Linked DNA regions of Xenopus tropicalis. The protein of the gene in region 2 purifies or fractionates together with the protein of the main gene of each other region. This does not show direct contact. Links are inferred from orthologs where the notes say so. Each region holds a gene or a part of one and is shown on either strand. Other genes may lie near its edges.

Region 1 (4,566 bases), on a different chromosome or scaffold from region 2:
CAGTGTGTTGTGTTGTTTGTGTTACTTGCCATTTAAATATAGTGAGGGACTTAGTTGCGGCTGAAGAAGTGTGAGATACAAAAAAAGGAAAAAGAACGCACTTTAATCCTTACATTTGATACAATTTTTATTGCCATGGTAAAAAAAAGGATGTGCTTCAAAATGGCAAACAAGACTATTAAATCACATGGAAGAACACGTATATTTCACAGTTGATTAAATACGACAAACTTTATTGCCAGGATCAGTACTTTATCAGAAAAGTCCTTCTCGTTCCTGTTCCTGTGTCAATTTGTCACAGGGCCGGCTGGCGGCACGATGGCATTGGCAGCATTAAAATTCTCCGCTGCTTGGAAAGGTAGCACTGTTGGTTAAAAAGAATAAGCACCCCAACTCTGCCTCCACCCCCGGCCCGGGTAAGATTTCACACAAACACGCTCACACACACCCACGCACATATAGATTTATGTATCCAAACCAAGTCCTGCGGGAAATACATACAATTTTGGCCTGTGAGGAATTGAATTTGACTTGCTGAGAGAATGGTTTCCTTGGTGGCTCTTAGTCCAAGAGCATGAACTGCTCTCCCATCGTTCTACCATTCTCTTGCTCTTCTATATTGGCCGAAGAACAAAGACGGCATCGTCCAATACGTAGTAGTCATTGTACATGTCTCCTTCGCATAAATAAGGGAGTCGGGTGACGGCTTCCACCGCAAAGCCTGCTACATGGAAGACATCGGCGAGGCTGTTCACCTGCTCCTCCCAAACTGTTCCGGTCACTTCCATGACTTCTGAAGGCTTCTCCCATTTGCCACCTGGAAAGGCAGAGGAAAGGCACCATTATTGGGATTTATCTTCGTAAATACTACATTACATGAATATATCTTATCTAGATGTATCTAGATCGCTATCCCAGGCTCAGAAAAGGTCAATAAAGCCATGAAGGGGGTGGCATTTCCCAAAGCAAATATAAAGAGGAATGTTATGTGCACACAGAATGCAATGCCATGGAGGTTTTGTTTGACACTGCCTTAAAGGGATACTGCCATGATTTTTATGGTGTACTTTTTATTTCTAAATTACACTGTTTACATAGCAAATATTACTTGAGCGCCTAGTTTACAACCGACTGACACTTTTCCTCTCTGACAATAACCTCCTGGATCCCCTACATTCTAGCTTTAGACAACAACACTCCACAGAAACTGCTCTAATCCAACTAATGATCTCTTATCGGCTAAAGCCAAAACCACTACTCGCTACTATTACATCTGGATCTCTCAGCTGCTTTTGACACTGTGGATCACCCTCTTCTCCTCCAGCCTCTCCACTGCCTTGTCCTGATTTTCATCTTATCTCTCAGATAGATCTTTCTGTGTCTCTTACAATGGAGCTTCACCTTCTCCCTTGCCTCTTTCTGTCGGGGTTCCCCAAGGCTCTGTCCTGGGCCCCTTACTATTTTCTCTCTATATCTCCTCACTTGGTAAACTAATCAATTATTTCGGCTTTCAGTACCACCTTTATGCTGATGACACTCACCTCTTTGTTTCCTCTCCTGATCTCAACCCAGAGCTCCTAACTCGCGTCTCTTCCTGCCTGTCCCCTATCTCCACTTGGATGTCCCAACGTTCCCTTAAACTAAAACCTCTCTAAGACGGAATTGGTTCTCTTTCCCCCATCCAACGCCCACATTGTTCCAGAGGTATCTATACAGGTTAACAATTCTACCATCACCCCATCTTCCCAGGCCCAGTGCCTTGGGGTTATCCTTGATTCTGCCCTGTCCTTCACTCCTCATATCCAGTCACTTATCAAATCATGTCACTTTCACCAAAGAAATATTTTTAAAATATGATCATTTATCGCCCAAGATGCCACCAAGAGAGATACCCAAGAGAGTACTGTAACTCTCTAATAATTGGCCTTCCCTTTCAGAGCCTGTCCCCTCTCCATAATGAATACTGCTGCCTGGCTCATACACCTCTCCAACCGCTCCTCCTCTGCCGTGCCGCTCTGCCAATCCCTGCCGTGCCACTCTGCCAATCCCTGCCATGCCACTCTGCCAATCCCTGCCGTGCCGCTCTGCCAATCCCTGCCGTGCCGCTCTGCCAATCCCTGCCGTGCCTCTCTGCCAATCCCTGCCATGCCACTCTGCCAATCCCTGCCATGCCACTCTGCCAATCCCTGCCGTGCCACTCTGCCAATCCCTGCCGTGCCGCTCTGCCAATCCCTGCCATGCCTCTCTGCCAATCCCTGCCGTGCCACTCTGCCAATCACTGCCGTGCCGCTCTGCCAATCCCTGCCATGCCTCTCTGCCAATCCCTGCCATGCCACTCTGCCAATCCCTGCCATGCCACTCTGCCAATCCCTGCCGTGCCGCTCTGCCAATCCCTGCCGTGCCTCTCTGCCAATCCCTGCCGTGCCACTCTGCCAATCCCTGCCGTGCCGCTCTGCCAATCCCTGCCGTGCCTCTCTGCCAATCCCTGCCGTGCCGCTCTGCCAATCCCTGCCGTGCCGCTCTGCCAATCCCTGCCTGCCCCTGCAGCCAATCCCTGCCGTGCCGCTCTGCCAATCCCTGCCGTGCCGCTCTGCCAATCCCTGCCGTGCCGCTCTGCCAATCCCTGCCGTGCCGCTCTGCCAATCCCTGCCGTGCCGCTCTGCCAATCCCTGCCGTGCCGCTCTGCCAATCCCTGCCGTGCCGCTCTGCCAATCCCTGCCGTGCCGCTCTGCCAATCCCTGCCATGCCTCTCTGCCAATCCCTGCCATGCCACTCTGCCAATCCCTGCCATGCCACTCTGCCAATCCCTGCCATGCCGCTCTGCCAATCCCTGCCATGCCTCTCTGCCAATCCCTGCCATGCCTCTCTGCCAATCCCTGCCATGCCACTCTGCCAATCCCTGCCATGCCGCTCTGCCAATCCCTGCACTGGCTTCCCCTACCATCCAGGATAAAATTCAAACAAATGACTCTCATTTAATTTAACATAACCGCATTGTGCTGCTAAAACCAATAACCTGTGCCTCTCACATTGCTTAACTCTGATTTTGCCCATTCCCACACCTTGTGTCTTAACCCTTTCTCCTTGTAGATTGTAAGCTCTTTTGGGCAGGGCCCTCTTCACCTCTTGTATCGGTTATTGGTTGCTTTATATGTTACTCTGTATGTCCAATGTATGTAACCCACTTATTGTACAGCGCTGCGGAATATGTTGGCGCTTTATAAATAAATGTAATAATAATAATAATAATAGCCCCATGTGAAATTTCAAAGTTAAATATAAACAAAAAATCTCTGTGCACTTTTAAAAAAAACGATTTCAATGCAGGATTCTGCTGGACACTGATGTGTTTTCCCATGACAGTATTGCAGTATTAAGGGAGAGAAAAGCAGAAGACAATAATGCCCCTGATGAGCATCAGCAACCAAAGAATCAACTTTCACAATCACTGTGTTGCAGACTATTGTTAAAGGGAGTGGTTCACTTTTAAGCTAGTTTTATGTTATAGAAGGTCTTATTTCTAGCAACTTTGCAATTGGTCTGACTCCAGCAGCCAACAAAACTATTGCTCTGTGAGCTTACAATTTTTTATAACTGTTACTCGTCTATCCAGTCGCTCTCGTATTCATATTCAAGTATCTCATTTAAACCACTGCCTGGTTGCGAAGGTAAACAAGACCCTGGCAACCCACCCAAACAGGAGAACTGCTGAGCAAAAAGTTCAATAAATGAAAAACCACAAAAAATAAAAAATGAAAATCATTTGCTAATGATCTCGGAATATCAGCTTCTATGTCATACTAAAAGTTAATTAAAAAGGTTTAGGTTTTGGAAAGATTTGCGCCAAAACATTTTAATATACAGGTGTGAAACAGAGTCTCTTATGTATCAGTGAGAGTAAATAAATCCCCAAGACTAATGATAATGAGCACATTTCCATTCCATGCCAACAGATGGGGACCCGCTGTACTTAACTAAAGGGGCTTTCTGGCAGAAATCAGTTGCACAATGGAAACCACAAGTTCCTCTCGTGTACAAATAATTCTGTGAGACACAAAGATTCATGAAAATGAGCAAACTTTCACCAATGTTTATCATGTTGCTGGGCATAAATAACTCTAGAACTAGGACGGCTCAGGAAATGACCTTTCCATGGCATCTAAAGGAAATATAAGCAGGCCAGAGTATCATTTTAATGATCAAAGTGCCATCAAGCTGGTGATGGGGGCAGATAAGAAGTCACTACCCCCACTCTTGCACATGTCCCTGGATTCCCTGTTCCTGATTGACTGGATTTAAATGAATCACAATGCTGCATGGGAGATGGGGGTGGGACAAGGCCTTAATATGGCGGTGAATGGGGCACCCAGGGATCTCAAGTGATGCACTTGCTATTAAATTCAACCACAGTATTGCAACAAGCTGGAAATAAGTAAACTTGGCCTTCAGGGTTAATACAACTAAAAGTACAGGGCACCGATACATTTTGGCACCCCCAAGTGACTTAGCCTTTCCTTCTCCTTTAACTATATCAGTGTTGGACTGGCCCACTGGCATAACAGGACC
Region 2 (3,647 bases):
ACCGAGGGGGCAGCTTATTGCCCATGTATAGGGTCCATTGATAGGCCTGCCCAGCTAGGATCTGGCCAAAAATGGGCCATGTTTGACAAATCTGTAGAGTGAGGAGTGCATTGGTGGGTTGATGCGGTTTATCATCAGATGGGTCTTTGTAGGTCTCACTGAATGGTTTTGATCAGTTTACTATAAGAAAAAGCTGATTGGTTGCTAGGGGTAACTGACAATGAAAATAAATGAGCACTAGTTATTTTACAAATGTTTACACTTCACAGTGCATTACATGTCACTCTAATTTTGCTAGTGGTCAAAACCACTTAACAGAAAAAAAAAAAAAAAAAGGATCAGCTTTGCGGTTGCACCTAATATAATTAAAAGGTTTATTAAAGTCCAATGATGGAGCTGCCACTTACTGATTGCTATGTGAACAGAAAGCACAGGCTGGGTGACTGTCAGAGCCCAGATATGTAGACTATGTAGAGCTTTCACTCCATCGATCGAAAGCAAAGTGTCCTTTACCAGGTTAAAATCCACTCCCTTTGGAGTTCCTAAAAACATATTGAAAAGCATAGGTTAAAAAGAACACAAACAAACCTTCTCATTTACTGCATTGCAACCACTAAAGTCTTGGTGAAGGAAGAAAGGGTTTGGGTTCCTAGAGCACTGAGCTGGGACTGGGTGCTATTCTTCCAAGGTTATTAAACAAGCTTAGTGATTGCCAAACCTCTTCACTTAATTTTCTAGGATTCACTGAGGTCTGGCATGGTGCTGAGAGACTGGCGAATTGCTAATGTGGTGTCGTTATTCAAAAAGGGATCCCATTCTCAGCCTGAAAACTATAGGTCTGTTAGTCTGGCATCAGTGGTAGGAAAGTTTTTGGAATGCATAATAAGGGGTAGGATACTTAAATACATTGCAAATCATAATACTGGGACTTTATGCCAGCATGGTTTTGTGTTACACAATGCGCCAGACTAATTTAATTGCCTTTTATGAGGAGGCAAGAACCTTGACTCTGGGGACGTAGTGGATGTAATATACTTGGACTTTGCTAAAGCATTTGATACAGTAACACACAGAAAGGTAATGGTAAAATTGAGGGATATTGGCCTGGAACATAATATGTGTAATTGGACAGAGAACTGGCAGAAGGATAGATTACAAAGAGTGGTTGTAAACTGAACATTTTTTAATTGGACCAGTGCTGTTAGTAGGGTAATGCAGGGGACAGTCCTTGGTCCTTTGCTTTTAGCTTGTTTATAAGTTACCTTGAGGTGGGCAATGAAAGTCTTGTTTCTATTTCTTCAGATGACACTAACTTGTGCAAAACTAAGTTCCATGCAGGATTTGACAAAATTAGAAAACTGGGCAGCAAAATGGAAAATGAGGTTCAATGTCAAGGCCTGACCTTGAGTATACAGTTTTAGGCTTCAGTCCTAAAGGATATTTTTGAGCTGGAGAGAGAGCAGAGACGTGCAACTAAACTGGTAAAGGGGATGGAAGATTTGAACTATGAGGTTAGACTGTCAAGGTTGGTGGTTTCTCTGGAAAAGGGGTGATTGCGAGGGGACATGATTACAGTAGATGGGATTATAGACAGGGTGTTCTTTTTTTCCCATAAAAATGATCAGCGCACCAGAGGCCACCCTGAAGGTGGTTTTCCATGGTTAGGTTGTGGAATGTCCTTCTGAGTTGTGATGGCAGATTCTGTTAATTCCTTTAAGAGGGGCTTGGATGATTTCTTGAACAAGCATAATATCCAAGGCTACTGTAATACTGAAACCTACAGTTACTATTACTGTTGGTATATAAAGTTTATGTATGTGAGTGTATAGTTAGGTTAGTATGGGCCTGTGTGTGCTGGGTTCACTTGGAAAGGCTTAACTTGATGGACTTTGGTCATTTTTCAGACCAACTTAAGTAACCAATTCTCATTCCCATAAAGTTTATTTACACACACACACATTATATATATATATATATATATATATATATATATATATATATATATATATATATATATATATATATATATATATATATATATATATATATATATATATATATATATTATAACTTACCTTCCATAAGGACTAGAAGTACATCCCTAAGGATGGTCAGTGTTGTGATCAGAACCAGCACAGAAAACAGGAATGTGCATATAGGATCAATAATTTTATATTCTGGCTGTTGAGGCAAAATAATTTTTAAACTGTTAAATATATAACCAATGTATTCAACATTCTACAACAACAAAAGTAAGCACTATCCTATACAGTAAACCATACAGATTAATAGAAAAGTAAAAGGCCCTACTAACTACAGGTCACTGAAGGAGACAGGGAATACTTGAACCGGTGTAGCTCTAGAGTACTCTAAAGGCTAGGGGCCCACATATGGTTTTCTCTGCTGGTGTAGAAATGGTTGGAAATAGTGGCTTTTTGAATTTAAATGCTTAATTGTGCCAACCTCTAAAATTTTAGTTTGAATTCAACAGGCAGGTTGTTCAGGGATGGCCAGTGAAGTGTATAAATAGCAGTAATATTCATTATGGATTTGCAGTCTCTGGAGGGTAAAGCTAGCCATAAACAAGTTAAAAAATGCTGCCAACTCAGCCTCTCCAGACCAAGAAGGCAGTTGATGACCCATGAGGGATGGGGCTCCCAAGGTGCTGCCCACAGATATCTGGCTACAAATAGGCCGAATACCTATCAAGAAGGTCTGAAAGTTCTGTTGGACATGAACCACACCAGCATGTGACTGCTTGCCCAACAGGACACAGTAGGAGCGCAAATGATCAGACAAGTCCAATTTGGCACAGAGCGACGGTGGCCAAATTAGGCGAAGAGCAACTCATTTGGCATTGCAACATTTACAAAACCTTCTAATACAACCCTGTTTTCAAAAATGCTGGGACACTGTAAAATATAAATTCAAAGAGAATGATTATGCAAATCATTTAACCCTACAACCAGCCAGAGAGTCTGGCTTTCTAAGAAGTAAATATGGGGAGGGGTACACCACTTTGTGAAACACTGTACTATTTGCAATTAAATAAAGGGTTTAAATAATTTGCAATTCATTCCAGGGTCCTTTAATTTACATTTTATTTAAAGAGTCCAAACTGTTTTTGAAAACAAGGTTGCAGATATCAGACTGTCCCCTCACAGGTATTGTCTGGGTTCAAATTCAAACCAACAAAAGGCCAATAAGATTTTGACTTTGGCTGCCATAGGGGCAAATAAGCTCTAGACTGGAAGGAGTGGCTGAGTCAGCAACAAATGCTGGACGATTCCTGGCCCTTTATTGGTTGGGCATATCCTACAAAACCAGTAAGATGCTGAATCAATCTGGAGTCACTGAATCCGCAACTAATTTTGGACTGCATGTGGCCACCTAAACTGCCCTGCTGCAATTGAACACCTGTAGATCGGTTTTAGTTTCGGTTTAGTTTTGGCAAAGAGCTTTCAGAAATTCATTGCACTGGATGAGGCTTACCCTAGAAATAGCAATTAGAAAGGCCATTGCTACGGGTGAAGCACCTTAACCCATAAAATTAAATGAAATTTACTGCATTACACTGGAGAGGATCAAAGAGTTGGCAAGCTTCCTGCCACAGAATATATGGCTATGTATCCATAGCTGGCTATGCA

The links.
Region 1: the proteins of slc30a2 (region 2) and mettl9 purify together in Homo sapiens (co-immunoprecipitation; 3 studies listed by BioGRID and IntAct, with this or other methods). This does not show direct contact. The link is inferred for Xenopus tropicalis from reciprocal best matches to the Homo sapiens genes SLC30A2 and METTL9.

Annotation. Positions count from the first base shown.
Region 1 is NC_030685.2:25,171,307-25,175,872, reverse strand, and holds the end of mettl9 (methyltransferase-like protein 9 precursor), read right to left. Parts: intron 818-4,566; coding exon 615-817; 3' UTR 110-614; downstream 1-109. UniProt on the Homo sapiens protein: Protein-histidine N-methyltransferase that specifically catalyzes 1-methylhistidine (pros-methylhistidine) methylation of target proteins.
Region 2 is NC_030678.2:76,865,997-76,869,643, forward strand, and holds part of slc30a2 (zinc transporter 2), read right to left. Parts: intron 2,182-3,647; coding exon 2,076-2,181; intron 543-2,075; coding exon 408-542; intron 1-407.